Linked DNA regions of Canis lupus familiaris. The protein of the gene in region 2 interacts with the protein of the main gene of each other region in a pairwise test. Links are inferred from orthologs where the notes say so. Each region holds a gene or a part of one and is shown on either strand. Other genes may lie near its edges.

The links.
Region 1: the proteins of DBNL (region 2) and SH3BP2 interact in binary tests that used the Homo sapiens proteins (3 or more experiments, as listed by UniProt). The link is inferred for Canis lupus familiaris from reciprocal best matches to the Homo sapiens genes DBNL and SH3BP2.
Region 3: the proteins of DBNL (region 2) and SH2D4A interact in binary tests that used the Homo sapiens proteins (3 or more experiments, as listed by UniProt). The two-hybrid records come from large-scale screens. The link is inferred for Canis lupus familiaris from reciprocal best matches to the Homo sapiens genes DBNL and SH2D4A.

The regions. Positions count from the first base shown.
Region 1 is NC_049224.1:61,998,428-62,009,033, forward strand, and holds the start of SH3BP2 (SH3 domain-binding protein 2), read right to left. Parts: upstream 5,727-10,606; 5' UTR 5,578-5,726; coding exon 5,495-5,577; intron 3,423-5,494; exon of another isoform or gene 3,327-3,422; intron 299-3,326; exon of another isoform or gene 276-298; intron 1-275. UniProt on the Homo sapiens protein: Binds differentially to the SH3 domains of certain proteins of signal transduction pathways. Binds to phosphatidylinositols; linking the hemopoietic tyrosine kinase fes to the cytoplasmic membrane in a phosphorylation dependent mechanism.
Region 2 is NC_049237.1:14,463,707-14,473,810, forward strand, and holds the end of DBNL (drebrin-like protein), read right to left. Parts: intron 9,681-10,104; coding exon 9,625-9,680; intron 8,712-9,624; coding exon 8,599-8,711; intron 8,229-8,598; exon of another isoform or gene 8,128-8,228; coding exon 8,053-8,127; exon of another isoform or gene 6,889-8,052; coding exon 6,742-6,888; exon of another isoform or gene 6,086-6,741; coding exon 6,008-6,085; exon of another isoform or gene 5,761-6,007; coding exon 5,609-5,760; exon of another isoform or gene 5,573-5,608; intron 5,529-5,572; coding exon 5,486-5,528; intron 5,255-5,485; coding exon 5,164-5,254; intron 4,705-5,163; coding exon 4,609-4,704; intron 4,503-4,608; coding exon 4,390-4,502; intron 4,156-4,389; coding exon 4,059-4,155; intron 3,708-4,058; coding exon 3,568-3,707; 3' UTR 2,654-3,567; downstream 1-2,653. Other genes in the region: PGAM2 (phosphoglycerate mutase 2), read left to right, coding at 1-52, 168-348, 1,782-1,948. UniProt on the Homo sapiens protein: Adapter protein that binds F-actin and DNM1, and thereby plays a role in receptor-mediated endocytosis.
Region 3 is NC_049237.1:22,913,515-22,923,618, forward strand, and holds part of SH2D4A (SH2 domain-containing protein 4A), read left to right. Parts: intron 1-3,187; coding exon 3,188-3,299; intron 3,300-4,981; coding exon 4,982-5,192; intron 5,193-7,912; coding exon 7,913-8,043; intron 8,044-8,338; coding exon of another isoform or gene 8,339-8,448; exon of another isoform or gene 8,449-8,464; intron 8,465-10,104. UniProt on the Homo sapiens protein: Inhibits estrogen-induced cell proliferation by competing with PLCG for binding to ESR1, blocking the effect of estrogen on PLCG and repressing estrogen-induced proliferation. May play a role in T-cell development and function.

The DNA.
Region 1 (10,606 bases), on a different chromosome or scaffold from region 2:
ACACACAAAGAGAACCACAGGGCTGCCGGCAGACCCCCTGCAGACACCGGGCTGCTCGCCGGCCTCTGCGCAGGGCCCGCAGCTGCGCCCCTCGGCTCCGGGCGGACAAGACCAGTCCCCCGCCCGGCCCCCGGCCCCCGGCCCCCAGCCCCCAGCCCCAGCCGAGCTCGGGCAGACCCCCGCCCGCTGCCCCGGGACAGCGCCCCGCCCGGCCGGCCCACGCCCGCCTTTGTTCCCCCAGGAAGCGGGGCTGGCGCTGCGGGCTCGGTACTCACGGCGTCCACGCGGCGGCCCGCCTTCCCTGCGCGCGGCGACACGGCTCCGGCCCGCGCCCCCCGGGGCCCGCCTCCCGGCCGCCCCACCCCGGCCGCCCGCGCCCCGCGCCCGCCATGCCGCGCCCCCCGCCCCCGCGCCCCGCCCCGCCGCCCCTTCGCCCCGCCGCGCCCCCAGCCCCGCGGACCCCGCTCCGCCCCCGGCGGCCCCCGGCTCCTCCCCTCGCGCGCGGGCGGGGCGAGGGCGCGTCAAGTGGGGATCCGGCGCTCCGCCCGCCGCCCCGCGCAACCCCGCGCGGGGCCTCAGTTTCCCCAGGGGCGGACGTCCGCGAGGCCAGGCTGGCCCAAGCCTGCCAGGCTCCCGGCTGCCTCTTGGCGGGGCGGGGGCGGGGGTGAGGGCCGCCTGCCGCCCAGGGTTGTGGCCAGGGTCGTGGCCGTGGCCGTGGCCGGTGAAGCGGGTCTGGCTGGTCGGCACTGGGGCTCCCGGTGGGTCTCTGGGTCCTCCTGCCCGCTCTCAGGTGGCTTCAGCTTCTGCCACCATGGGCCTCCACCCCCGCATTCCCTGCAGGACTCAGAGGTCCAGTCTGTGGCAGCTCCCACCTCTTGGGTAGATGTGGGCTTCTCTCCTAGGAGACCCCCAGGCTGGCCTAAGGCTGGTGAGGGTCTTGTGGGCCACCCAGACATTCTGCTGCCTCCACCTCCCACCTGCATACAGGCTGCTGGTGAGATGGGCCAGTCCTGGCAGCCAGTAGCTAGAGGACCTTGGGCCCTGCTCCCACCCAGCTGTGCAGAGCACCATGCCCTGGTTTCCCATCCTTCACTTGAGGCTGGCTGTCCATGCCCCTTCCCACTGCAGCAAGAGGCTCTGTCCCACCTGTATGCCTCTGTTCCTAGTGCCCTTGCTAATCCCTCCCCTGGCAGCATACTCTGCCCTCAAGGCCACCGTCCTCCTGCGCCTCCCAGCCATCCTGCCTGGGCAGCCACTCCCACCCTGTCTCAGTTCCCTCCCCTGCGTCCATTCTCTCCCTCCATCATCCTCACTCAGCAGCATGCTCCCCCCCACCCACACATGCCATTCCCATCACTACTTTTCCAGATCTCCAGGGCCTCTTCCTGTGCACTTGGCCTTTCCAGATCTGGCCCCCATGGATCTTTCTCAGGGGATCTCTTCCTGCCCTCCACCTCCCATGCATCTGTGCCATCCAGACCTTGTGAATCCTAAATCCAAAACCCAGAACTACCAAGCACCACCTCCAGGCTGCAGTTCACAGGTTCCACTGCTTGCAGTTGCAACCACACTAACGCAGCCCCCAAGAGTTGGTTCAAATGAACACCAATCCAACATTGACTCCTCCAAAAAATAGAAGAGAAAGGAACTCACTTTCTAAGGCCAGCATTATCCTGACACCAAAACCAAAGATATCACAAGAAAACTACAGACCAATAACCCTTATGATTATAGACATCAAAATCCTCACCAAGGGGTGCCTGCATGGCTCAGTTCATCAAAATACTAGCAAACTGAATTCAGCACCATGTAAAAAGGCTTCTACACCATGCTAAGTGAGACTTATTCCAGGAATACAAGTGTAACACTTAAAATTCAATGATCGCATACAACATATCAATCAAATAAAAGATAAAACCGCACGATTATCTCAGACACAGAAAAAGTATTTGTCAAAATCTGACAATCTTTCATGATAAGAACAACACTCAACAAACTAGGAATAGGAAAAAACTTCCTCAACATGGTAAAAGTTGTTTATGAAAAACCCAGAGCCAACATCATACTCAAAGGTAAAAGACAGCAAGCTTTCCCCTAAAAGTAGGGACAAGGCAAAGACATCTGCTCTTGCCATTTCTATTCAACCTGTATCAGAGGTGCTATCCAGTGTAATTAGACAAGAAAAAAGAAAATAAAAAGTATCCAGATTAAATGAAAAAGTAAAACTATTCACAACTTACATGGTTATGTATATAATACATATCAAGGAACTCACTAAAAAGTTATTAGAACTAGTTAATGAACTAGCAGGATATAAGATCAATACACAAAATCCAGTCCTACTTCTACATACTAGCAGTGAACAGTCCAAAAGTGAAATGAGAGTTAGTTCAAGTGTCCCCCCTTTCAGGTGGGCTTCCCTGACCTCTAGGGTGTCCTGTGTCCCTCTGTGGGGCTAGCACAACTTTCCCTCCACATAACACTGACCACACTAGCATGTCACCATCCCCCATCCTCACCAGCTCAGGCCCAGCACAGAGGGGGCTCCAAAGGAAGCATAGAATGTTGACCCTGGAGGGTGGTAACAACTGCAATTGCCTGGAAGGCACAGAATGCCAAAATACAGCCCCCATTCTGGTGTACCTATCGTCTCTGATCTGTAAGAAGACCTGGCATGTGTGCTAGGGCAGGGGCAGCATCTGTGAGGACACATGGAACTCACCATTTCACCTGGCTCCACACGTGGGGGAAGCTGGAGGAGAGGAGTCATAAGGCAATCTACAGCCCCCCTCCGGCTCAGCTCAGGGGCCAGGCCAGCACAGGCCTGTGAAAGCCTTGCTCTTGCCTGGCCACAGTCTCTCTGTGGGCAGGATGAGGGCTCTTAGGCGGCCACTGACTGACCTTGGGTGGGGAGGTGGGTGGTGACAGAGTTAGGTTGCGCCCTACCTTCACCTCCCCCAGGATTGTCCTTGCTTCAGGGACAGATGCCAACATCCTCATCTCCTCTCAAGAGGTTGGACCACCCAGAGGGAAACCCACCCGGATGTCCCCAAAGCTTCCCCCCGCACCTGGTTCTGCCCTGCACCAGGGGGTCAGCTGGTTTGGCACTGGACCAGGGGCCAAGTGCCAGGCCAGGCTGGAGCAGAAAAGGGAAGGAAATGGTGGCTTGTGGGTAGGGGTGATGACGACCATTGTTACTGAGGTGACTAGACAGCTTTGGAGACTTCAGTCCAGCTCAAAGATTCCAGCTCCATGGTGCCTGGGAAAATTTAGGGGAGTCCCCAGGAAACTCCCATACTCCTGGCCAGCCTGGCCTTCCTGGTTACCTCCTTCTATGCTCATGGTATCAGCCAGCAGCCTGGTAGTTAAAGTCCACTCCTTTATCCCATGGGCTCAGCAGTAAGGAGCTTCTGTCCCTTCTCCTGCAAGGGTAGACACAGCAGTGGGGGCTCCCTCACACCACGCTGAGCCACCCTGGGTGGGAGCTGTCAGGGAGCCCGGGTTCAAATCCCACCAGGCCTTCCTCCACTGAGCCTCTACTTCCTCTAATTTAAAGTGGGTACAGAGAGTCCAATCTTCAGAGCACCCCAACACCCCTCAGGGCGTTAGCTCTACAGAGGAGGGTACTGAGGCCACCCTGTGTCAGCACTAGGTTCCATGCTGGGGGGGGATCTGTTCCCCACAGCTCAGAGGGGCTGTCTGGGGGCAGGATTCTGATGACACAAGGTGGCCAGCATGGTGGTCGCTGCTGGGCTCCAGGAGCCCTTCCAGAAGGCATGAGATCTTGTGTGTTCGAGTGTGCACTGGGAAGACAGAGACCTCAGGCACACTCTCTGCCCTCTGCTCTTCACTCACCCTGGACCTTCTCTTCAAGTTGAGATTAGTCTAGGTGACCAAGGCCTGAGGTGCAGGGCAGATGGGTGAACAGTGCTGTTCCACGGAGACGGGCCCCATTGAGTTCCATGAAGTATAGGGTTTGTGGGTCTCACCCCCCATGGGGCTGTGAGCCCAGAGGCATGTGGTCATTGCCAGCACAGGCCCACAAGTGAGCTGAGGCTCTACCAGCTGGTTGGTGCCACAGACCATGGGCTCAGAGAGCTCACAGCGCAAGTGCAGGTTACAGTGTGCACACCGGTGTATGTGCATGCATGTGCACAGGTGTGAAACTGTGCAAGAGAGTGAGCAGGGGCTCTGGAGGCCAAACTCCTGCATCTCTCCTCTTTCACACCTGCAGACACAGCCCTGGCTGTGGTGAGGAAGCTGGTGCCTCAAGTGACCACAGTGTCAGGGGTTCCTGTCAGTGGTGACCAGATCGGCCCCCTTATGGGAACTGCAGGACAAGGAGGGGCCAGGGGTCCCTGACTGCACTCACACACACTCACCCCATACAAGCACATCATATACAACTCATCATATACAAGCACATACACAATGGTACATATGCTCACTCATTCTCACACACACTGGAGTGTACTATATACTCACAAAGTACTTGTGGGCTTACACTGATATACACACACACTCATTCACTCACTCATATGTACACACACACACAGCCTCCAGAGACTCACAAGACCTTTTGTGGGTACCCCCGGTACCCTGGGCTGACAGCCCAAGCATAGGTCAGAATCGTCATGACCACCCTCCAGCCCCGCATGTGCCCATGGCCAAGTTCCACTTGAGGCTTGGTGCTTTAGTCCCATTTCACAGACTAGAACAGTGGGCCTAGGAGAAGCACACTGGGCACTCACCAGTGGACAGGCTCTGCCTTTTGGGGATCTCCCATGTTATCATCTCAACATCCCCTGACGTGTGAGCCAGCAGCATCATCCCCACGCCACTGATGAAGACACCAAAGGGTCTGAGCGGCTGAAAAACTTGCCCAGAGTTACAGAGCCAGGGAACAGTGCAGGGGGGGAGGGGGGCTCATCAGGCACAGCCACTCCCCTAGCCAGCCCCCAGCAGCCGCAGAGCCCATCTGTTCTCCCCTTTCAGGTCCCCCCTGCTTTCTCTTCCCAGAATCTTCCTCCATAAGAGAATCAAAACCAAAAATCTCCTACGGAGGCTGGAGGCCAGTGAGCAGCAGTACCAGAGGGAAAGGGCATGACCTGGTTTTATAAGGAGAGCCCTTCACCCCCTCAGCTCTGTGCCAGACCCCCAATCACAGTCCCCAGGCACACACACACACTCACTCTCATCTATATTCACACGCTCACTCAATGCGTGTGCTCACAGGACCCAAACGGCAAGCCCAGCACCCCCCCACCCCCGGCAGCATATACGATAGGAAGGTGCACCCCAACCTTCAGCCAGATGCAGGCTGAGCAGCACATGGTGGGGGGCAGTGGAGTTCCCACTGTGCCCCACTCGGCTCTTGGGGCTCTCCTCAAAGCTTATCACTCTGGAGTCCAGAGCTCAGCTTCCCCGGCCAGTTCTGCAGACACTGGGCCAGTGCCACCTCCCGAGTCCCCAGTCCCAGGGCAGCCCCACTGACCTGATAGCACTGACCCAGCACATGGCTCTCCTCTTGTCTGTTGACGGGCTTGGGGCAGGCTTCCTGAGGCCCAGAGAGGCCATGTGACTCAGGGGTCACAGGGCACATCTGCAGCCTGCCTCCCCCAGGTAGGGAAGGCCTGCTGGCCCCGCATTGCTCTGAGCACCCTCCCGCTGACAGCCGCCTGCTGCATCTGGGGCCTGTGGCCGCCAGGGCTTCCTCCCCACTGACACTTCCTGTTGCCTGTTGCCGGGTCCTTGGGCAGCCCCAGCTCGCCAGCACTTCCTGCTTTCTGTCATCCAAGGTCCCAAGGCCAAACCGAGGCCCAGAGCTGCACCCTTTGTTAGTGCTGTCAGGTCTGCTGAGTTTTTAGCCGACCCCTCCTCCCAACCCATCCTGTGGTCAGAAACCACAGCTCTCCAGGCCCAGGGGCAAGGCTGGCTCTGTCCTGGTCCCCAGGGAGGAAGCTCCCCGCAGGTCCCCTACCGCACATACTCCATGGCCACTTCTGCATACTTGTCTTCTCCCCAGCAAACCACCAAAGCTCCTTCACAGCCTGGGCTCTCAGACTCCCCTCCTTGGTTCCAGAAGCCCCCTCCCCACACCAAGAAGCTGAGGCTTCCACCCCAGGCAGAGAGCTCACTACCTCCCTCTCTGCCCTTTCATACCAACGGACCAAGGAACCAGGTTCCCGGCAAGGCCCAGGCATTTCCCTTCCCCCCCGCCTCATCTACTACAGGCCTCCCCCATGCACCTGCCAGGCTTACATACCTCTTGTGATCACCACTCCCTGCTGGCCCTGCCAATGCCAGGCTTGCTCCTGCCACTGCTTGACTCTGCCCCAGGTCCCACTCAGGCTCCTCCCAGGCCTATGCTGCCCCACCAAGGAGGGCTTCCTCCCCTGCCTAGACCCACAGCCGAGAAGTTGGGGAACAAGGATTCAAGACCAGGCTGTTTGGTGCCCCCACACCCCCTAGCCCTCCTCTCCTGAGCCTGGGCCTCAAGGTCTTACCTCTCCCACAGAAGACAGGGCAAGCCAAAGGAAGGAGCACCCCAAGACCACCCGTACAGAAGGATCTGAGGGTCAGAGAGGCCACAGAGCACAGGGTCCCCGGGAGTTGTTATCTTGTCCAGCAGGTTTCCTGGGGCACATCCCCCACAATCGACCATGCTGGCACCTAGCCATCCCTCATTCTTGTAGTTGGGGCACTGGAACTCCACTTTGATCACAGCCCCAGACCTCTGCCAAGGCCCTAAGCCACCTGGAGGCCTGTTTGGGGTTACAGACCGCCTGCTGTCTCTTGGAGGGTGGGAGTTTAGGTTTCGTGTTTGAGCTCTCCTCAGGCTGAGCGTGGCCCCCCTGTCCCCGCCCCCCCCCCCAAGCCTGTGCCAGCTTCAATGCCCTCTGGTGGCCAAGGGCAGACTATGCTTTTGGCAGAAAGATGGCTGGGACAGACAGACCTTACATAGCAAGAGGGAGGCTTTGGGGGGGGGGGGGGGCTTCTTCCTCTTCTTCCCCTTTGCAGCCTGCCTGGGGTGGACAGAGAACCCCAGAGCAAGACACACTCTGGACACTTGGCCTACCTCCTTTCTGTACTACCCGTGTGGCCTCACCCTACTTAGCCCCTCTAAGCCTTAATTTCTTCATCTGTGCAAGGGATGCTGAGGGTTGAGATAAAGTAGCAGGGTGAGGAGCCCCTGGGCCATGATCCAGCCAAGACAAGCCAGGGGGGCAGCGCTGGGCTGGGCACTTTGGCCTCAAGGGGCTAGAGAAGGTGTCAGGCCCAGCAGGCACTAGGTCAGGGGAGGCCTGGGAGGGGGGCAGGTCTGACAGAGGAGGTGAAGTTTGCTGAGAGGGGCTGGGGTGAGGGAGTCAAACACAGGTCAGGGCTCAGGACACCATCCCAGGGTGGGGAGGAATCCAGGGGCAGCAAGGTGGCTGAGGCCCAGGAAGGCTGGGGGACAGGTGTAGGGGTGAGAACCTGCCGTGATAAGAATGAGGAGCCAATGGCTCTCCCTGGGATGTACAGCCCTCACTGGACAGATGGAAGTATGGGTAAGCAGGCCTGAGGTCAAGGCAGCAGCCAGGGCCTCCCCCGCCCTCACCCCCTGGAGGGCCCCCCAGCTCCTAAACACAGCAGAGTTGAAGTGGATGGAGGGGCATGAATGAGGTCAGACTAATGTGGGGGTCAGACTAATGTGGGCCCCTTCCCCAACCCTAGTTGGAGTTTCCTATGGGGGCTGAGGTCAGGAGTCCTGGGCTGCTATGTGACCTCTGCAGACTCCTCTTCCCTGGCCTCAGTTTCTTCATGGGCCCTCCTATCTCCTGAGAGGTCCTTAATCCTCGCAGTAAATAACACTGCCATCTATACTCCTGAAAACAGAGCCTCTCCAATAACAGCATCTTTTACGGTATGTAGAAATAGCCACGGAAATGATGGCACACCAGGTGCCCCAAAGTCCTAGGCATGGAAACCACTCCACCACACTGGATGTAGGGCACTTACCCGCGGGGGTGGGAGGGGGCCAGCAGGGCCAGGCAGGGGCTAAGGGTCGGCCTGGAAAAAAAAGAGAGAGGGAGAGTTTTTAGTCTGGGTTCCCAGGGTCTCAGCCTGCTCAGGAGCAAGGCCGACCCCCAGCACAGTGCCACCTCTGTAGCTGGGCACAGAGTCGGCTTCACATCTGTGCTCACAGCGCATGAAGCTGGTGCTAGCTTCACCTGCACCTCCCACGAGGACACTGCCATTCAAGAGGATGGTGCTCGCCAGGCTGACGGCCAGAGAATGGAGGTGTGAGGAATGGAACCATGTCCCTAGGAACCCCAGCTGCAGCTCTCCTGCAGGCACCCTGGGCCCTCGTGCCCAACCTGGTGCCTGCCTGCCACTTCTGGGGGCAGCGCAAGTGCAAAAATTGCCAAGGAGGGCCTGCTGGGCTCAGGGAAGGGCGGCTGGTGCCCATACCGGGGGAAACCTCAAGCTTTCAAAATAAGATGTTTCATATCAGCCACTCCTGCAGGGCCTGGGTCCATCCGCCCAAAGCCAGCCCTAGGACCCCTACTCCCTGAGCCTCACTCTTCTCTCCACACCTGGGGCTGGAAGCTGCCTTCCAGAACAAGGCTGCCAGGAGGGTACTAGGCAGAGGGAGTGGGTAGTGTAGAAGGCAGGGCCCTGCCTGGGGTCACCTGGTGTCATGAGCTACATGGGGGTCCCCAAAGAGATATGTCTAAGCCTTAGCCCCCAGGAATTATACATGGGACCTTATACAGAAAAGGGACCTTTGCCTATGTCATTAAGGTAAGGATCTCATTCTGGATTAGCCAGATGGGCCTGAAATGCAGTGGCAAGTGTCCTTAAAAAATGAAGAGATAGAGGCAATCTCCAGCACTCCCCATTAGCCTGGGTCCCACCAAATCTCCACAGCCAGGTTGGTGCCTGGTCCACAGCAGGGCCCGAAAAACAGATGGATGGATGGACAGATGGGTTCAGAGTTATGTCTGCACACATGACCATCCCTCTACATGGTCTAGGCTGTAACTAGCACATGCCTAGCCTGGCCCTCAGAGCCACAGTGAGGAATTGTGACTTAGAGCTAATCTGACCGTCGATAAGAACTGATGTTCAGGGTGGCTACAGCCAAGGCCCACCCATGGCCCAGGACTCTCCTTGGGGGAGTGAGCAGCCAGCTGGCATTGAGCAGGTATTCAAGATTGCTAACTGCAAAGAACAAATCAAGGCACTGGAGCCTGCCAGCATCCCCAAAAAGATAGTAGGGTGCTGGGGGCTAGAAGCCTCCCAGGGCTTTCTCAGGGCTACCCAGGGCAGAGGCAGGAAGCAGCTCCGCCACCTCTGTGTCCAAGGACAAAGGAAGTTAAGGGAAGTGCAGAAAGAGGCCCATGTGGGCCTGGGCTTCTGGGCCAAACCAGGGGCAGGGACAGGGCTTCTACTCTGGGACACTTGGACCCCAAACTCTGTCCCCATGGAAGACTCACAGCACCCCTGTCCCTGGATGTCACAGCAGCCCACAGCACCTGGAGCCTTCCTCTCCCTGGCCAGCAATCTCTGCCTCCAGGAAACATTCCGCAGCCGGGCAGTGAGCGAGCTGGGCTGGGGGCTCCCATGGGGAGCAGAGGCTGCTGCAGGCTTGCACCTGGGCCAGAGCATGCTCCAGTAGAGCCGGGGAGAGGGCAAGGCTCTCCAGACGGGAGCTGGGGCCTGGACAGGAGGAGGGGGAAGGCTGGAGGCCCATCAGGCCAAAAGGCCCATGGGAGGGACAGGGTCCATGCTAGGCTGTGGTGAGGGGCAAGCTGGGTCTGGGGTGGGGGAAGCACAAATTGGCATCGTCACGGGCCGGAGCCACGCTTCTGCCTCAAACCACAAGCCAGCAAAGGCGTTCAGGATTCACACTTCAGTTCATCACAACACAGACAAGTTTGCAACTTTTAATTGCTTGAGAAAAGATTTCCAGAGCGCTGATGTGTGGGCCTGGTCCACACCACCCCCGCCCTGAGTTCCTGGCTGCCTGCTGGTGGAGGCAGCCTCTATCAGCCTTGTTCCTGGAGTGCTCCCTAAGACAGACGCTCAGTCCTGCCTGCCCTGATAGCTCCCCATGAGAGGGTTACTGTGCCCACAGGACCTGGGTGGCAGGATAGCACAGCGGTTCCTGTGGGAACCAAGCACAGGCGTCCTTGGGGATGGGCCTGGCTCAATCCCCTTTCCTAATCTTGTGGCCCACTCTGATCCTTAGCCTCCTCCTCTGAAGAGTGGGGCTGACAGCTCTGGAGTCGGGTTGTCCCGTGGTGGGCAGGGGTACCTGGTCGCTGGCAGTCTGTTGGAAACACAGTCAGCAGGGTCAGGCTGGAAACAGGGAGAGTTCTCTCCAACCGTCCTGCTCAGAGCTGGGTAACACCTTCCCACCCCACCCTCTGGGCCCAGACCCTTGAACCCTCCAGTCTCCCGGCCCACCATGGGCCCCCTTCTGAGCTACACCCCCGTAGTGCTGGGAACTCTACCCAAGGATGACTCACAGCACAGCACACTCGCTCTAGGCCCAGGGGTGCCTGCCCCTCCCCTCATCTCCAGCACTGGAACATCTCCAGCATCTGTCTGTAGACTG
Region 2 (10,104 bases):
CCCGCCACCCCCCATGGATGAGAAGCACCCCTACTACGGCTCCATCAGCAAGGTGAGCTGCCCAGGGCTCCAGGGGAGGGTCCAGGGGCAGCGCCCGGGGAAGGGCGCCCAGGGCCGCGGGAGGCACTGGCTATCTGGGGAGGGAACAGCAGTGTGGATGCCCCCAGGAGCGCCGGTACGCGGGCCTGAAGCCCGGGGAGTTGCCCACTTGCGAGAGCCTGAAGGACACCATCGCGCGGGCCCTCCCCTTCTGGAACGAGGAGATCGCCCCCCAGATCAAGGCTGGCAAGCGAGTGCTCATCGCGGCCCATGGGAACAGCCTGCGGGGCATTGTCAAGCACCTGGAAGGTGAGGCCACCCTCCCGCGGGGCGGGGGCGAGCATGCAAATCCTCATTTCAGCCAAGTGCGCCCTGGCCTGCAGCTCTGCAGACACCAGCACGCATGGGAGGGGTTCACACGGTCAGTGGGTAGGACCGAGAGACCATTCTTTAAAAACACTTTGTAAACTTGTTTCGCTTGTGTATGTCCTGGGACACTGGAAAATGAGTGTCGCGCCGAAGGCTGTGGATGAAAGGGCCCAGGCCCTGTGTAGGGCCTGGGAGGCCTGGGAATGGCCTGGCCTCCCGGACACAAGCCTGGGCAAGCCGCGGGAGGGCCCTGCCCAAGGACACCCAGCCCGGGGAAAGGCGGGGCCGTCTGGTCCACATCCATTTGTTGTGTGACCCTGGTCAAGTCACTTCACTTGCTGGGGCTCAAGCACCTTCTATGGGGTGGCGGGACTGCTCCCAGGACTGCCTATGCCCATCCCTAGGACCCCAGCTCACACCCACACCAGGCAAAGGTAAGACCAGTGAAACCTGGAGTGCAGGTGTGGAGCATTCCTGACCCCTGGCCCTCACTGGGTTCCCACTAAGGAGCACTGGGGGGTGGGTGGGGGACTATACCCTCCCAGCACGGCACACTCCTCCTCCGGGCTTCCTGTGAACGCACTCTACATTGCACAGATGCTCAGGACAGTCTAAGCATCGGAAAGGCCTTGCAACTTGTTGGGACTGTGGGAAGTGGAAGGAGGCAGGTAGGGTGGGGAGCACCAAACCTCCTGCTCTAGGGGTCGACAGGTTGCTGGCCAGAGCAGACAGGTGGCTCCCCGCCAACGGCCTGGCCAGCCCCAGTCCACCTCCCCACAACCACCTTGTGGCCGTCCCTTCCAGGGATAGGTCTGGGAGAGAAGCAAAGAGGCCAGCGACAGTCTCCCACTGTCCGCAGACCTGGGGGGTGGGGTGTCGGAACTGCAAAGGTCGAGCTGCTATTCCAGGCCAGGGGCTGCGGAGGCAGGCAGGGTCAGGTTTCCCCAGGAAACCGTGCCCTTTCCACCCACAGGGCCTCCCCTCCTGGCCACAGGAGGCCCTTCTCGGTGTCCCCTCCACAACCAGCTGTCAGGAGCACCCTTGCTCTGGATAGCCAGAACTTAGGAAGCTCTAAATACCCAACATCCATCAATCTGGCCAGAAGAGACTGATGTCAAGCCGAGGGCCCAGGTCCCAGTGGCTCCAGTTTGGGGGCACGAGGTCCTGGTTTACCACAACTTTCTGCAAGCCACTTGGGTCTCTCATTTCTGGCTGGACCTTCTTCAGCCCCATCTGCACTGTGGCCAGCTGCTGGGGGCGGGAGGGCTGCTGCCTGGCGGACTGGGCTCTGTGGCCCAGAAAGGTCACAGGGCCTGCTTCACGTGAGGGCGGGCAGCTGCCTGGCAGACTGAGGACTGTGTTCCCCGGCCCAGGGATGTCCGACCAGGCCATCATGGAGCTGAACCTACCCACGGGGATCCCCATCGTGTATGAGCTGGACCAGGCGCTGAAGCCCACCAAGCCTATGCGGTTCCTGGGTGACGAGGAAACCGTGCGGAAGGCCATGGAGGCTGTGGCCGCCCAGGGCAAGGCTAAGTGAAGGGTGGGCTTCTGGCAATAAAGGCACCTCCTCCTACCACCTGGAGTCCCATGTGACCGACCCCAGCATGCCCAGCTCCCAAAGCTTTGAGCTTGGGGTTCCACAAACCTGGCCCAAGGGTGCTTGGCCCCTGCTGCCCACCTCCATTAGGTGTGAGGGCCCCAGGAACCAAGGGCAGGGGTCTGGTCCCCAATCTGCGCTATCAGGTAAGTTCTGAGAGGCCCTCTATGGTGATGCCAAAAACTGAATGGCCACCTGGTAACCCTGATCTAGAACCAGGGTGCCTGGGGTGACCCAGCTCTGCCCAGGCAGCAGGGACAGCAACCATGGCCAGTTACCCCCAGATGGGGTGTCCTCTGCTGTCCCTGCAGCCCCAGGGTGAGGGGCAGGGTGCAGGGGTACCAAGCACCACCTCCTGAGAACAAGCCCACAGCAGCCTCAAAGCCTGCAACATGGGACCTGAAACCCCCACAGCTTGGGGGTGGTGGGGAGGAAACAAGATGGGCCACCTGCCAGCATCCAGGCCCAGTGGTCATCTTAGAGTGGCCTTCAGCCCAGGTGCTTCCACTTGGCACCTGCCAGGGCACACAAGGAATGGCCCTGCTGACATTCATGGGGTGCCAGGCACCTCACTCGATGCATACAAGTGCTGCCCTGTGTGGGCAGAGGGTCCCCATGGCATTCAGGAGACTGAAATGCAAGAGGCGGACTTCAGTCACATCTTTACTTTTATGCCTCTCCCAGGAGACCACGGTGGGCCCCAGGTCCGAGGGCGCAGCGTGCACACACACACACACCCCAGACACCCGGGAAGGGATTGGTTTCTACACGGGGGTATTCGGGTCACAAGAGGGCAGTGCTCACTCCAAAAGCAGACATGAATGGGCCAGGACAGACAGGGTGAGACAGCAGGCACAGGCTGCTCTGGTTTCTGAGGCAGAGTCAGGGGAGCGCACACACCAGGGCCAGTAGAAGAGGGCGTGCCACATGGAAGGACACGTTTGCTGATCCTATGCACAGATCGGGGCTTAGTTATTTATCCTGTCCGCACTGCTCACTGTCTGCCACGCAGGCAGGGGGACAGAACTGGGAGCACAGGGCAGGGTCCGGAAAGATCACCTACTGCTGCCCAAACTGTCACGACCCACTGAGACTTTGGTCCTAAACTCTCAGTTCACTGAAGCTGAGCCTCGCTAACAGCTGTAGTCAGCACCCTTTAGAGCCAGGAAAAGGAAAAGGCAAATACCCCTGCGCAGACCGCCCGGCGTGGCAGTGCTGTCCCCCTCAGGCAGAGGCCACGGAAGGGCTGGCCATGGGCAGGGTGTGGCTCCATGTCCTCTGTGGGGTCAAAGGCCAGGCTGGGAGAGCCTGGGAGCTGCGAGACCAAGTGTGGGAATCACAGGATATTGCTGCATCTAGGGTGACAAGAGGCTGAGCACCCAAGTCTGAGGGAGCCCAAGGGCTTGTCTTGTTTGGCGGCGGGGGGGGGGGGGGTCCCATTCCTGGAGGAGCACGGTGTGGCTCTTGTGCCGGGCACGCCACCTCTCCCAGAAGTAAGGAAAGCACATCTGGGTGGGGAAAGGAAGGACGGCCTTGCTGCAGCCAGCAGTGGAGGGTCCTCACTCAATGAGCTCCACGTAGTTGGCAGGAAACATGCCAAAGTGGCCATCTGGCCCGTAGCCACGCCACCAGCCCTCATCGATCACCTCGATGCCTGTGATGAGGTTCTCGGGGTCAAAGGAGATCTCAGTGTCGTCGGCTGTGGGAAGGGGAGTCTGCACTGGGGCTGGTGGTCGGGTGCCGGCCACTACCCCTGGGGCCCCCCACTTCCACACGAGCAGCCTGTTTCCTGAGGCTCCACCCAGGACCACTGGGGGCCCCGTGTCCAGGTCACCCACCTCTCTGGTCACTTGCACTTGCAGGCTCTAGCACAATGCTGGCACCTGGGATTCACGCCAACACATGCTGGGTGGCTGCCCAGAGCACCAGGGGGAGGCCTGGGCTGTGCGGGCCGTCCACCCCATCCTCCCCTCCCCTTTCTATCGCCCTGAAGGAGCCTCTGAAGCCTGTCCCTTGACAGTGTAGCGGTCCCTTGACCGCAGCACGTTACCTGCCTGGTAGTCGTACAGGGCCCGGGCACACAGCCCCTTCCCGCGCAGCCCCGGGTAGGAGTCCACATGCTCAGAACCGGCATCCTGCTGCAGCACCTGCCCCCCGAAGGAGAGAAGGGAAATCTGGGGTCCTAGTTACAGGCTCACTGGCTGCTGCTGCCCACCCCCCATGACCTCCCACAGTACTGCAAGGGACTGCCCCAAGTTACACGAGATAATCCGCATGTAGGGAGCTACTGAAAAGTCAGGCATCCCGTGACTAGCGTGGCTGAGAGAGCATTTCTGGGTACGTGACCCCTTCACAGCCAGGCCCTGCTGTGGGGAACTCACCACTGGGGGCTCCTCATAGAGAGTCTCCTGCTCCGGGGGCTCCTCGTACACAGCCTCCTCTTCCGCCTGCACCACACATGGCGGACCGCTGGACACGGGCTCCTCATGGATATCTGCACAGGAGGATGCAGCCCACTCTGAGCCCGGGAAGGGGATCGCACACCCTTCCTCCCTCCCACTTCCCATCCCCAGCCCCCCAGGGGCGGCCAAATGCCTTGCCTGCCCTGGGCCTGGAGGAGGCCTGGGTGGGCTCCGGGCTGCGATGGGTCTCTGGCTGGGTGAGCTGTTTCTGCAGGAAGGGGCTCCGCAGCTTCCCTGCAAACCAAAGGTAAATGCACCTGCACTGGAGGAGGAGAAGATCTGCATCCTGCAGTGGGACAATGGCTGTCGCACAGGAGGATGGGGGGGCACACAGCAGCTGAAGCGCCAGCGGCGTGCACACCTCAGACACCCAGGGCACAGCGTGGGAGAGGGCAGCAGTGTGGTCCTGCGTTGTGCGTGCTGCACCACGGGTTAATAGGGCCGGGCTGGAGGGTCTCCCCTCTGAAGCCACACATGGCCCTTGCTTTCCAGGTCTCTGCAGGATGAGGCTATGGGCAGGAAAGGGACACCTGAGGCCCAGGCTCCCCTCCAGAAGCCACTCTAAGGAGTGCAAGCTCTCCTTGCTCACTTGCCTGTCTGACGTGTCACTACCTCTGGGGGCCCCACACTGGGATCCTAGGCTCTCGCTCGGCCTGCCCCCACCTCACGGTGAGGTGCAGAGGGAAGACTCACCTGGCTGGGGGCTGGAGATAGAAGTGGTGGACATGGCCCTCTCCTTCTGCTTAAAGATCTCCCGCGGGTGTGCTGGCTGACTGACCGGCTCCTGTGGGGAGTGCATGTGGACCCAGCGGTGAGGGGTCCCGGATATGTGGGAGGGGCTCACGGGCCTCGTCCACACTGGCCGCTTCTGCCCTTCACTCTCCACTGCCACCTCCTGTGTACCCACAGGTCCCAGCTGGCTGCAGGACCTTCTCAGCGGCCCCCTCCCTAGGCCTGCTGGGCTGGGGCCCCGGCATATCAGGGACCCCTCAGGGTGGGAGCACCCACATCTCACCTGCTCTATGTTCCTTGAAGCCACTTCCTGCTGCTCACTCCTGCTGGGGGAGCAGAGGGAGGTGCTGCAGCCCAGCTGCAGCCCATGTGAGACCCTCCCTCTGCCCTCCCTCTGGGGCCTCACCTCTGGGGTCCCTCACTGGCCTGTGCCTCTTGATAGCGCTGCTCCCGGAGGGCTGCCTCCCGCAGCTCCCGTTCCCGGCGCTCCTGCTCCAGTCGCTGCCGCTCCTCCTCTGCCCGCCGCTTCTCTTCCAGCCTGCGATTCTCCTCCTCCTTCTGCAGGGAGAGCCGACCCCGCCTGCCCCACTCAGCAGTTGCACAGCAAGCAGGCGAGCCTCCCTTCCTGCCCCCCCACCCCATGCAAGTGTGGCCTGTGCAGAAGCGTGCTCAAGCGCAGCCACTAATGAGGACACGTGTTCTTTATCATGAGAAACACAGGGACGGCAAGGAAGACACCCTGACACCTGGCACGCATGATCTCCTTGAGGGCTGGCTGTGCTCGACGCACCCGCACAGCACTCACCTCTGCTTTGGCCCAGAAGCTGTCTTTGCCGACCCTTTTGATCTCAGAGATGGCGTTGGTCTTCTGGTACACAGAGCCCTGTGGACGACAGAGGATCCGCTACAGGACCGTCTGCGGGAGCACAGAACGTGAACAATAGTTGTGGGGACCGTGCCTAGCAGTGGCAGTGACACCTGGCCCGGGGCCTCTTCACCAAGATGGCCTGAAGGCCCCAGGAACCACTGGGCAATGCCAAGGGGGTTTTTGGCTGCACTAGGCCCCAATGGATAGAAGCCAAGGAGGTTCTGAGGCTGGCTGCTTCTAGGAGCTGGTCCACTAGCCTCAGACAGCTGGTCACCGTGCCAGTGTCCAGGGAGACTCCACAGACTGCAGCGCTGCTTCGGGGAACTGGGCTCCCCATAACCAGGATGTCTGGTGTCTACCCACAGCTGGAAGGGGCCTGACCATCCAGCACTTAAAGCTCCCCCATGGTGCCCACCATCCAGGGCCGTTCAGGACAGGCTGGACTGTCCTGCAGAGCCTCTGACCACACAAAACAGGTGTAAGAGGCTCCAGAATAGCCAGTGGAACCAGCAGGCAGGGTAGAGGGCTGCTCCTCACGCCCACTAGCACCTGCCTACTAGGAGGCAGCTCCGGCTTCTCTCTGGCCTAGGCTCACCATCTGCACCTAGATCTGCCTCCAGGACCGGAAGCCCTTGAGGGATAAGACACGCTTGGCCCTGGGCAGCACTCACCACTGGGGCCTGAGGGCCTATGTCCTGGAAACGACCACTCTCCTTGTGGAAGGCATAGTTGGCTCCTGAGGCCCTGGCCACTTTCTGCATGATGCACTCAGGCTCCACGTCCTCCTCAGCCCTCGCGTTGATGGTTACATGCGCCCCCTGCAGCAGGACAGCACCTAGGTGTTGCAGCTCCAGGAGAGGACAGGACGCAGCCCCAAGTCTGCAGAGCGCAGACAACTGCTGCCTGGGGTTCGAGGTCAGGAGACCCTGCTGGGGCCCTAGGCACGCTCTCCACAAGACCGACAAACTACCTTGAGGCAGAGAGCCTGTTCTCACCCCAGCACCTTGCCCCTTCCCAAGCTGATTCCCCAGGGCTGTGTGTTCGCTGCTGGAGGCCCAGGCAGGAAATAGTCCTGATTAACGAAATCAACAAATTAACGAAAAGCCAACTTAAAAAAGGATCTGGAAATGCAATTTCTGCAAAGAGCAAACCACTTATTTCTTCTTCCTTTTTTTTTTTTTTTGTCTTATTTATTCAAGTAATCTCTACACTCAACCTGGGACTTGAACTCAGGACCCTGAGATCGAGAGTCGCTCACTCCTCACACGGAGCCAGCTGGGCGCCCCAGGCACCAATTTCTTTTCTTTTCTTTTTTTTTTTTTCAGGCACCAATTTCTTATTGAGAAGTCAGACCCATGACCTCACTCCCTGCTGGTAAACATCCAACAGCTTGGGATCCTCTTTCAGCTCCCAGATGGAGAAACTGAGGCATGTCTGAAAAAGCGTCAGCAGACTAGAAATCAAAGTCCTAGATCTTTCTGCCAGTAACCAAAGAAATGCAGGTTATCTGACAAGCAAACAACAAAGGCTTCTGGAACTAAACGAGGTTCCGCTGCGAGGACTGATGTAAATACACACGTAGGTTGGCTACAAACAGGGTACAGGGAAATGTGCCCGCTGAGGGGGCTGGGCACCTGCACCCTTCCTGCTCCTCCAAATCCTGACAACACGGCTGAATAAACCCTCACAAAACCAACGGAACCCAAGACCTCGCTCCAGATTGGCCTTCCCTGTGCTTGAAAAGGACAATCGCCTGTTCCTCCCCGCTGCTAACACCAGCTTGCTGGTCGCTCTGGCCACAGCATGGCCCTCTGGGTGCTGGCCAAGCAGGAGCGCAGCAGCCTCTGCTCATGTCCTCAAGTCCAAAGAGAGCATCGGGGAGTGGGACCCACTTCCGGTTCTGGCTGTGATTCGCGCTCACGCCCGCCCAAGATCGCAGGAGCCTGGAGACCTGTGTGAGGCCTTCAGGGTGCAGCCCTCACCTTCAGAAAGCTGGCCATGGTGCTGACGTGGTTGGCGCACGCTCCCTTCCGCACATCGTTCACACCTTCGCCTGTCTGCAACATGACACACCCGGCGTGACCTGCCAACTTCCCACCGCCCTGCCTCCCTAGGGACCCAGCAGAGGGACAACTGTGACCCTACAGCAGACCATACGGTAAGCCCCACATCCTTCAAGTCAAGGAGGTTCTTGAGTGCAGGATGACTGCCAGCTTCCACTGGTGGGGGTGGGGGGTTGCCTCAGAACCTCCTGGTCTCCCCAGGCCCTTCGCTCCCTCAGGACGACCCCCTGAAGGGGACAAATGTGTGGGTGTCCTGAACTGTACTGCTGGTTGTGGGAGTGGTTCTGGGCTAGCAGTGCTCCCGCTGTCGTCTGGGGCACAAGGACTTCATCCACCACCTCTGAGCTGCCCCAAAGACAGGTCCTCCTCCGCTCCCACCACGGAAGGCAAAGGAGGAAAGCAGGAAAGGGAGCTTTTCGGGGTCACGCCTGGATGAGAACTCAGAGGCCCCCGGGTTCCACATACCCAGTTGATGAGGACAAACTTGGGCAGGCCAGAGTTGGGGTCCTTCACCCTGCAGAAGGCGTACATCACCTTCCCGCTGTTGAGCTCCTCCACCATCTCCTCCAGGCCCCCCTCTGCAGTGGGCACAGGGAGGGTCAGAGGGTCCCACACCTGCTGCCTGCCCTGGCACAGTGCCCCCCAGGAGAGGAAATCCAATCTGCCTCGGAACCAGGGCTCAGTGCTGCCTGCAGAATCAGACTCCTCATCCTGCCCCCACTAAGTTGCTGCACAGGATCTGTGTCTGTAACAAGCACCTCAGGTGAGATGTTCCACATGCCAACCTAAAAACCATTAGTATAAAACCCAGACAGCTTCAGAAACAAAAATGCAACAAATGTTGACAGTCATGCAACAAAGTGGGCATGAAGCTTCCAAACAGAGGGTCTCTGCAACCATCTTCCTGCTGCCTGGACCCCACAAAGGGCCCTGAGCAGATGGGACCAGTCTGCAGTTGTGCTCAGGCTCAGCTCTCAGACCCTCCACGTAAAGATAAGGGAGTGATGGGCGCACAGGAGTGGGCCCTCTTCAGCTGTTCTTATCAGCACCCCCAAACCCACCCAGGCTATAAGGAGCTGGATCGAGTAATGTAGCTGGAGGGCCCCTACGGGCTTGGGGCAGTGCTGAGCCCCTACCCTGGGCTCTCACAGCAGAGCCCTGTGAGTACCCCTGGGGTGCTGGCAAGAAACACAGGGGCCTGAGACCTCCTTCTAAGCAGATGACCAGCAGGGAGTGAGAGGCAGGTTTTCTAGCCCAGTCAGAACCACTGAGCAGCCAGTGGAGGAGGTACTGGTGAGCACTCGCTGAGTAACAGAGCTGCATGTAGCTCCAACACCGACACTGTGGTGGGGAGCGGTCCTAGCAGCCTCGCCACGTGCTGGGACACCTCTGTGCCTGCAGTCTCCTTGCATTAGCTGTGATGGCCAAGGCTGCCAGGGAGCACCAATGCGTACAACCCGCCCCCCGCCGCCTTCACTGGGACATACTCACCCCCTGTGCCAGCCACACGGATGTCATTGCTGTTACCCTCATAGGTAAAGAGAGCCCTGAAACAAAACAAACAAGCTCTGTGGCCTTTGCCACACCTGCCAGGAGCTGAGCGTGACAGCCACATGGGCCCCACCAGACCCCACGGGCCTCCCAGGTACGAGAACTGGAGAAGACAGAGAATTCCCATGCCTTCCGGAACCAAAGCACCCCAGCAGGTGAGGCAGGAAATGGGAGTGCGCACACTGGACATCTGGGAAGGCAGCCCAACACACACCCAACACCACAGCCTGGTGCCTGTGTGCTCTGCCTCCCGAAAGCCTGAGGAGTTGGTGCAGCAGGTCTCTCTGGGCTTGGGACTCTCCTGGAAAACCCAGAAGCCATATGGGCCATGACTCAGCACGAAGTCAGTCTCCTCATGGGACAGACTTCATGGTTGGGAAAACTCTTTCTGGAGGAGCCTTAAGTCTTCACAGGTGACCC
Region 3 (10,104 bases), about 8.4 Mb from region 2:
GAGGAAACTGGAGGGAACTATTTCTATTACAGGCTGGGATGGGAGGCTTTCTGTGGGAGATGTTTTGACATCAAACTACCCATCCCTGTGTTTAAACCTCAGTCAGTGGCTGTTTGGACCAGGGTCCATCCTCAGCTTTGCTGCTCCTTCAACCCCTCACCTGACTTTCCCATGCTTAGCTCACCATACCATCCTGGACCTACATGCTTCCTGCAAACATTTCTAAAAAGGAATTGGTGGTTTGGTTTCCTAAGCAGCGGATGTAAAGACCAATCTGTAAAGATTTTGTTCAAAGTAAATTTTCTGGAGGAATTCTTAGAGAAACTCATGACAAAGTCCTTAAGTTTTCCAGCTTCTTGGAATAAATGTAGTTGTCAGGGCTCATCTCATCCATTACTCTGTGAAACTCGTTAATTTGTTTTCTTTCCTTCTGTTCCCCATACAGAATGATACTGCAGGTTAAAAAGGAATATGATTTACTTGCTGTAGCACTCCCCAACATTTGATTGTCATCAACCACATACCACCTACATTATTAGGTACTGAATATTTCTCCTTCAGTGGAGTCACTTTGTAAACTTTTTGCTTTTCCTAAGCAACAATATTCATGCTGTCATGGTTTAATGTTATAGCTCTATTCTAATCATTTTAAATCATTTTAAAATATTCATGTGGAAGTTGAACAAAGTTCCACTTTTAAGTTTTTTTATGTTTAAACTTAGAAATTGCTAGCAGTACTTTTTATGTATTTCAGGTTTATAAATGGCTTCAGTTAGGTGACAGCAAATTTTAACAGTCACTTAAAACACCAAAAACTGTTTTTTTAGTTTTTGTAATATTGTAAACCAAGAGGGCTTAGCTCTAGGCAGAAAAAGAAAGTAAGAAAAAAAATACACAAAAGTTGAAAATAATAAGAACACAAAAGTTCAGTTACATCTGAAATGAAATACAGTGTATGAATTATCAGCTTTTACATTAACTGTGATTTATGACTTCCCACAATGGTTGAAAACAAGTTTCCCAACATCAAGGTTTATATTTTAGTTGAGGTGAAATAGTTTAACAGAAAGAGTGTCTTTAGTGTCTTTTACTATGGGAAAACATAAAAGAAAAAAAAACTGTCATTTTTAGGATGGAGAGCGAAGCATGGTCAGTCAGGCTTTTATACAACCTCTTAGCTTGTTTATCGAGGTGACCAAGGCTTTTATTTAGTTCACCAAGTGCTAAATTCTGTTTTCTAATAAGCACTCAAAAGGCAGTACCCAAATAAACAAAGTACTTTTTTTAAAAAAAGATTTTATTTATTTATTCATGAGAGACACAGAGAGAGAGAGAGGCAGAGACAGGCAGAGGGAGAAGCAGGCTCCATGCAGGAAGCCCAACATGGTACTTGATACCGGGTCTCCAGGATCATGACCTGGACTGAAGGCGGTGCTAAACCGCTGAGCCACCTGGGCTGCCCAACAAAGTACTTTTTAGGTCTAAGTGATCTGGTGTGTGTTTCTCTTTAGTTAAAAACTAGTTCCTTTAATGCCACGGAGCTGTTCACTTCAAAATGGCTAACACAGTAATTTTTATGTTATGTATGTTTTACAATAAAAAAAGCATATTTCCTTTTAAAGGAGGACTTGTGTTTCTTATTTTATATTTTCTCAAAGAGGATGTTTAGTAAAAAAAATATATATATATATATTATATATATAGTAAACAAAATATTCCTTTTTGGGTCATCAAAAATGTGTAAGTACCACATTTTAAGATAATTTTTAAAAAAGATTTTATTTATTTTGAGAGAGAGAGAGAGAGAGAGAGAGAGGACAAACAGGCAAACAGGGGTTGGGAGTGTAGATGGAAAGGGAGCAGCCGGCTCCCCGCAGGGAGCCCGTGGGAATGGATCCCAGGACCTGGGAATCATGACCTGAGCCGCAGGCAGACGCCCAACCACTGAGCCCCCAGGTGCCCCTAGCACCACATATTTAGACACACTGGTTTGAGGGCACATGGAGATACAGCTGAGACTGCTCTAGAAATGTACTGTTATTTTATGGAGCTGGTCAGATACTGCAGTGTTCACACACTGCCTCAGGGAATTCAACTGAAACCTGGTAAGTGCTGTTGAAACGGGAGAGCTGGGTTCTCGTGCGGACAACAGAGCCAGCAAAGCGACAGATGTTTATTAACCAGAGATACAGAGGAAGCTCTAGGAGTGAGAGGGGTCCTGACAGGGTTGCTGAGGGTTTGTAGGGTCTGTCTGTTATAGGAACCTTACCAGGGGACTTGGTACATTGCATGTCACTATCAGGGTGGCTCTTCGGAACAAACATGGCGGACTTGTAACCATCAGAGTGACAAACAAGATGGTTTTATGAATATCATGAGCCCAAACAAGGTGTTCCCTTTTCTCAGGTTAACATCTCCATAACATTTCTCTACATCTGGGATTTCTGCAGCCTAATCAGGGAGCCCACGGCCTTGAGATTCTTGTGTGGTCTTGGTTTGAGCAGGGACTATCGATAACACCTTAATGACATGTTTCTGTGATTACTTAGTAGCCATTAAAGGGGGGAGACTCCCTAACATTTTGGAGTTAGGGAGCCAAGTTTATTTTTTTATGTTTTTACTGTTTTATCTCTGTTTTCTCGGGATGGGTAGGAGCCTGACTCTGGGGCTTTTCCCTTATCATTCCCTGCCTAGCCCTATCTGCCTCTAAGTCATTCCTACATCACTGTGTTTGAGAAAAATGGATATTTATTGGGTCATATACTGTGACTCATATACTATGTGTTTCATATACTATGGAAGATACTTTTAAAATATTATTTAACCCTCACTATAACCTTATGAAATATTCTAAATTTTCTAATTCTGCTAAGGCAAAGACAGCCTAAAAGAGGTTTGGTAATGGTCCCTAAGGTGCTATAGCTAGGTCATGACTGAGTCAGCCTCAGGTATCACCGACTCCAAGCTTTTCCTGCAACAACAAACTGCCCAGTCAGGGGCCAATGGGAGTCACAATGAAACTAGGCCCCTCAGTGCCCCTGGCCCCTCTGCCTCCTCCCCCTCCCCCCACCTCCCCCTTCCTCCTCCCTCCACCACTTCCTCCCCTGCCTCTAATCCCTCCTCGCAGAAAACTGCCAGAGTTAATCACTGGTGTTTGTTTCTGGTTTTTATTTTTTCTTTTAAACAGAAGAAAGAATCCATGAAGAAAACACAAGATGAAGAACTAAAACAAATAGACGAGGAGAAAACCAAGCAGATTTATAAAAGCTGGAAAGAAGATTCGGAGTGGCAGGCGTCTCGTGAGTACCCAGAGGCCTCTGTAACACCTTAGACCCGCCAGGCCAATTCCTTCTCTTAACAAATGATCAATCCAGGAAGCACTTAAAATGGTTGTTGAGAGAATTATTACCAAGTTGTTACATAAAGGCTTACGAGTCACTTCTTGAATAGTAGGAAGTTTCTCCATTGTCTTTGTGCCATCACAGCTGTGGTATAGTAAGTCTGTTTGATGGAACGGTATATAGCTCTGAAAAACCATGTTTTGGAAATGTTTAAGGACCTTAGGATATGTTTATAAATTGTTTTTCACTTGAAGAAAAAAAATTATAAAATAGTATGAAAAACATCCCCTATTTTAAAATGCCTTGGTATGTGAAGTAAAAGAACTAGAAAGTTATTAACATGTTAATTTTTTTGGAGACATGATATTTCAGATTTGTTTTAATTCTTCTTGTTATTCTTTACTTTTCTAAATTTTCATAGCGAACTCATCTTAACTTTGTAAGAGAAGAACCAGGAATAACCGATTGAATATATCAGCATCTGTCCCATGCCTGTGACCTGACCCTGACTCCTTTTTGAGTTAGCGCTGCTGGAGATGACCCTCCTCAGGAGGAGGTGGGGTGGGCTAAGGCAGAGCAGAATGCACTCAGGGATGCTAGGAGACAATGCAGGTTTGAAATACCAGTAGGGTTTCCAGGTGACTCAGAAAGAGCTTTACCAGCCGGGTCATCCGTTGGGGCCATTTAAGGGAGAGAACGAGAGTGAGAATGTTTGCAGGATGTGGAGCATCCTGTCTTCAGTTTCATTAGTGAACACCATGAACAGGACAGTTTTTGTGAAATGAAAATATTTGCAAGATCCAATCACTTCTATGCAGTGAAATTCTAGTGTAATGGAACATTTTTGGCATCTATTTGAAATGAGACTTAACAGGGCTTGACCAAGAATGCCCGAAGCGCAAATACACTCAATAAAAATTAGTCTTAACATCCTGCATTATAGCCCTTTACTGCCGTGTTGCTAAAACAAACACAAAACAAAACAATAAGCCCTCTGTTATACAAAGCAACATTAGAAGGTGGCCTTGAGGTGCTTTTATGTGTACCAGCACGTTCTCTGATTGCCGTGAGAACCATTGTAGTGTTTCCCTGGCAGGCCAGTTCACAGTTGGCTCAGCTCTGGGGGGGCCTCTGAGTGTGATCTTTGGCACGACTGGCCCACCTGTCACCCTGTCCACAGCCATGAGCGACTGCACCAGGAGCTGCCGACAGCTGGTCTCCGCTAGTGACTCGAGCTGAGGGCGTCAGGGATGTGACATCACCTCTTGGTCAAAGGCTCTGGGCCAGTTGGAATTCGCACTCGGGCTATGACTCATCCCTTGGTCTTGCCAAGTGCAGGAAATTGTCCAACAGGTGGTTCTCCAGTTCTATCTCCTCCCTTCCTCATCCTCCTTCTCCCCCTTAGGAAGCCCTCCCCCCACTGCCATTGCCACCACCACCCCACTGCCACCGCCACCCTTAGAAAGACAGGGATTGTGCGGCAGGCTGGGCAGTTGTGGCTGCACAGGCCCGAGCTGTGTGAGCCGGAGGTGATGACAGCGACGGTCTGTTATCAGCAGGTGACAGCATCTCCTGAGGGACTGCTCCCTTCACCAGCAGATCCTTCTCACCATCTTCTTCTCAAATCCCCGTTTTCCTAGTGCGAAAATCCAAAGCAGCTGACGAGAAGAGACGCTCTTTGGCGAAACAGGCGCGGGAGGACTACAAGAGGCTGTCCCTGGCGGCGGACAGGGTAGGGAGCGGAGGGGGGCAGCACGGCGCCCCAGCTGCTCCGCAGAGACCCAGGAGACCCCCCCTTCCACCCAAGCCGCAGTTCCTGCACCCAGCGGGGTCCCCTCGGCAGCCTCTCAGGTAGGAAGCCACATAGACGGCTTGCAGCGCAGGCAAAGGGCAGGCTGCCGGGGTGGGGGTGGGGGTGGGGGCGGGGGGGCGCGGCCGCAGCGCGGAGCCCAGCTCTCCTCCACTTAGCCAGTCGCCCCAAGGTCCCCGCGCCGGATGCACCCCCTTGTCGTCTGGAAAATACCCACCGTTGTCATAATTAAGATAGACAGTGATTAAGGATGAACACGGAGTTGGTGCCTCCGCGCCCCACCAGCGCCCCCACCAGTCCCCCACCAGCGCCCCCACCGGCACCCCGCCAGCCCCGCACCAGTGCCCACAACAGCGCCCCCACCAGAGCCCACACCGGCGCCCCACCAGTGCCCCCACTGGCCCCGCACCAGCCCCGCACCAGCGCCCCCACCAGCGCCCCCACCAGTCTCCCACCAGCGCCCCCACCCGCGCCCCACCGGCCCCCCATCAGCTCCCTACGGTGGCCACTGAGGGGGAAGCAGAATGGGTTTCGGTCAGGACTCAGCATCACCCTTAGCCCGCGCGGTGCCAAAGCAGGAAGCGGGGCTTGCTGCGGTTCAGGGCATCATAGAGTCGTTCTCCTTCCTCCGGGTTAAAGGTTTGGTCCCTCCTTTCGGGCTACAGAGTCGAGCTCCTACACTGAGAATCTGGAACTGTTCCTCTTTGGAATGAGTACTGTTTTGGTCACGATGGTGCCTTTGCCCCCTAGGCTGTAGAAAATTGCGTAGAACAGTTTGTTCTGTAAAATCCCTGAAGAAAAATAACGATGACATCATAGCAGAAACCCCCTTTCCCTTGTGTTAGTTAACTGATTATAAAATTATTGTCTCCTGGATATCATATGATTGTTTTCATATTCTAATACGCAGAAAGACAGTATTTACATACCAGAGAAATCAAATAGCAATTGAATGAAACAGAACTGTCTCAAGTCTCACCTTCTGAAATAAAAAGCAGAAAGACTTCTCTGTTGCAAGTATGGAGAAATTAAAAGCAAAGAAATCTCTCTTTGCTTGGAGTCAGTAGTGATCTTCAAGGCTTTTCCTAACGGGGATTATGACCTCAGAGGAAACAGGAAGGTAGAGGTTTTTTCTATGACAATGATTTCTACTTACTCAACTGAAAGGTTCCATTTTTGGATGTGGGTACCAGGACCAGAAGATCATGTTCTATACGGGGACAGTGTGGAGAATGATTTTTTTTTTCTTATGTACAAAAACCCAAGAAAAGTAATAAAAAAAAAAAAAACTGGGATCCTGGCCATTTTGTGGCCAAGTCACAAAAGTGTGAATCCGTGCTCAGGGCCCTCTCGAGTGCTCCCAGCTGGTCAGGGTGTCGTCCACCCCCCGCAGGGCTGCGTGTGTACCCACCCCTGCCCTCCCAGTTCTTCCAAGGGTGTGACTGTCATTCATAGTCATTCATAGTGTGCCCTGGCCCACGGTACTGTTCGTGCCCTGGGTATGTGATGGACAGCAGGAAGGTGGCCTTTAATAAGAGCCGTTCTTCTTTTGAGCTGTGCTCACTGAGCTGTTTTTCCAACTTCACAGACTTGCACGAAATGCTTCTTGTGAGGCAGCCACACAGGATGGTTTGGGGGCTGGGACCACATCACATCACATCAGCGAGGAGCCAGGCTGAGAAAAGACAGAGATTGGCTGTCCTTAGAGTTTTTGCTTAACCTCCAAAGACTTCCCAAAGAAAAAGAACCTAATTTGAAAGCTGGTAACAGCACTCATCGTGTAATCTCACGTGCGTGCAGTATCTGGTTTCCCCAGTATAGGCTATCTTCTCCAAAATACTATGTGGTATGTAACTGGATGCGTGCATGCATACATGTACATCTGAAATACATGTCACATGCAATTCGTGGAGACGTGTGTTACCATAAAATGCAGAAAGAGCCATAAGTTAATTTACATGACAGGCATCCCAGAAGTTCATCCAAACTCATCGTTTTTACACTGAATTCTGCTCAAAATGAGTAGGCTGTTGTGAGAGACTTGGAAATATGTTTATTACATTGCAAAGTTACTTTTTGTGATGGAAATTGACTTACATCCCAGAACTTAAGTTCTGCTACTGAATATATTTCAAGATGATTCTGCCACTTGTATCTTTTTCTTACCAATCTTCAAACACTCTTCTTTCTTTGACTTTATATTTCTGAGACTGTCTTTAAGCAGAACCAAACCTCTTCGAAGTACAGGAGGAAGAAAGCAAGTCAGGGAGTTGGAAACAAAAGAGAAAGTTTAATACTGAAACTGTTAAAGAAAATTATTTTTTTGCATTTCTTTGGTTTGTGAGAGCATGTTCCCAAGGAAAATAGCGCTGGGGGTGTATTTCACTTTTTAATAGTTATTTTCTCAAATTTTAATTGGAAGTTAATGGACCTTTAATTCATATTAAAAATGAATTAATATCTATGTATTAACAGCAGTAGCTCATACCCATGACTAGTCCGATAGGACTGGAAGGACAAGGTGACAGATATATGTTCCTTCCTATTTTTTTTGAGCAGCCCTTGAGGACTTAGTTGTATAATGGCAGTAATTAGAGATCCAACTTCCCATTAGCCCAGCCCATGTAATCCGATGTTCAGACATATAGGATGCTCTTTCCTCTTATACATGATCTATATATACAGGATAAATATGATTTTCGAAGGCATTGTTTTCAAATTAGTTAAATCTAACTTGAAAAAAACGTTTTCTGAATAACAGAACCCAGGGAGTGACAAGGACGGCATCGAGCTCTTCCCAGGAGGACATCATTCGGTGGTTCAAAGAGGAGCAGCTACCTCTGCGAGCAGGCTACCAGAAGGCCTCAGACACTATAGCGCCCTGGTTCCACGGTGAGTACATGGGTTCCTTTGAAGGAACCTCATCTGACGCTGGAGGGTGCTATGCTTGCCCACCAAGAGGGCAGAAGGAAGAAAGGCTTCCTTTTACTTGTGCTGCCCAAAAAGAATCTTTGAAATTATTTTCACAAAGCAGTTTTTCAAAGGTTTCTCAGTGAGTTGCTAGCTCATGATGAAATTTGAAAACAGTGAGCAGTTGTAGTCTCTGCATGTATAGGTAATTTGTCACCACAAATAAAACACCACTGGGTGGGTGGGGAAAGCAGTGCCTCCTATGCATCTCTACTAGGGCACTGGATTGTGATTTCCTTCAAACAGCAATGCCTTTCATCCACCATCCACCATCCACTGGAAGAGAGTCATACATGCCCTGTATATGATGTGCAGAGCATCTGGTGAGCAGTCAAAACATCAGCTCTCCATTGACAGGTGAATGACTGAGCAAATCAGCTTTCTCTGTAGCAAGTCAAGTTATCTGAGCTGCATTTTCCTCACTATTAAATGAAGGAGTTGAACTTTATGATTTTTAACCTGAAAATTCTGTTACTTTTTTTGTATATTTTTTATTGGAGTTTGATTTGGCAACATATAACATAACACCCAGTGCTCACCCCGTCAAGTGCCCCTGTCAGTGCCCATCACTCAGTCACCCCAATCCCTATCCCACCTCCCTTTCCGCCACCCCTTTTTCGAAGCCCAGAGTTAGGAGTCTCTCATGTTTGTCACCCTCACTGATATTTCCCACTCATTTTATCTCCTTTCCCCTTTATTCCCTCTCGCTATTTTTTTATATTCCCCAAATGAATGAGACCATATAGTGTTTGTCCTTCTCCGATTGACTTACTTCACTTAGCATAATACTCTCTAGTTCCATCCACATTGAAGCAAATGGTGGGTATCTGTCATTTCTAATGGCTGAGTAATATTCCATTGTATACAAAGACCACATCTTCTTTATCCATTCATCTTTCAATGGACACCAAGGCTCCTTCCACAGTTTGACTATTGTGGACATTGCTGCTATAAACATTGGGGTGCAGGTGTCTCAGTTTTTCAATGCATCTGTATCTTTGGGGTAAATCCCCAGCAGTGCAATGCTGGGTCACTGAGTAGTTCTATTTGTAACTCTTTGAGGAACCTCCACACCATTTTCCAGAGTGGCAGTACCAGTTTACATTCCCACCAACAGAGCAACAGGGTTCCCCTTTCTCCTCATCCTCTCCCACATTGTTGTTCCCTATCTTATTAATTTTCCCCATTCTCACTGGTGTGAGGTGGTGTCTCATTGTGCTTTTGATTTGTATTTCCCTGATGGCAAGTGATGCAGAGCATTTTCTCATGTGCTTATTGGCCATGTGTATGTCTTCCTCTGTGAAATTTCTGTTCATGTCTTTTGCATATTTCATGATTGGATTGTTTCTTTGCTGTTGAGTTTAATAAGTTCGTTATAGATCTTGGATACTAGCCCTTTATCTGATAGGTCATTTGCAAATATCTTCTCCCATTTTGTAGGTTGTCTTTTAGTTTTGTTGACTGTTTCTTTTGCTGTGCAGAAGCTTTTTATCTTGATGAAGTCCCAAGAATTCATTTTTGCTTTTGTTTCCCTTGCCTTCATGGATGTATCTTGCAAGAAGTTGCTGTGGCCAAGTTCAAAAAGGGTGTTGCCTGAGTTCTCCTCTAGGATTTTGATGGAATCTTGTCTCACAATTTGATCTTTCATCCATTTTGAGTGTATCTTTGTGTATGGTGTAAGAGAATGGTCCAGTTTCATTCTTCTGCACGTGGCTGTACAATTTTCCCACCACCATTTATTGAAGAGACTATCCTTTTTCCAGTGGATAGTCTTTCCTGCTTTGTTGAATATTAGTTGACCATAGAGTTGAGGGCTCATTTCTGGGTTCTCTATTCTGTTCCATTGATCTATGTGTCTGTTTTTGTGCCAGTACCACACTGTCTTGATGACCACAGCTTTGTAATACAGTTTGAAGTCTGGCCCCCAGCTATGGTTTTCTTTTTCAATATTCCCCTGGCTATTCAGGGTCTTTTCTGATTCCA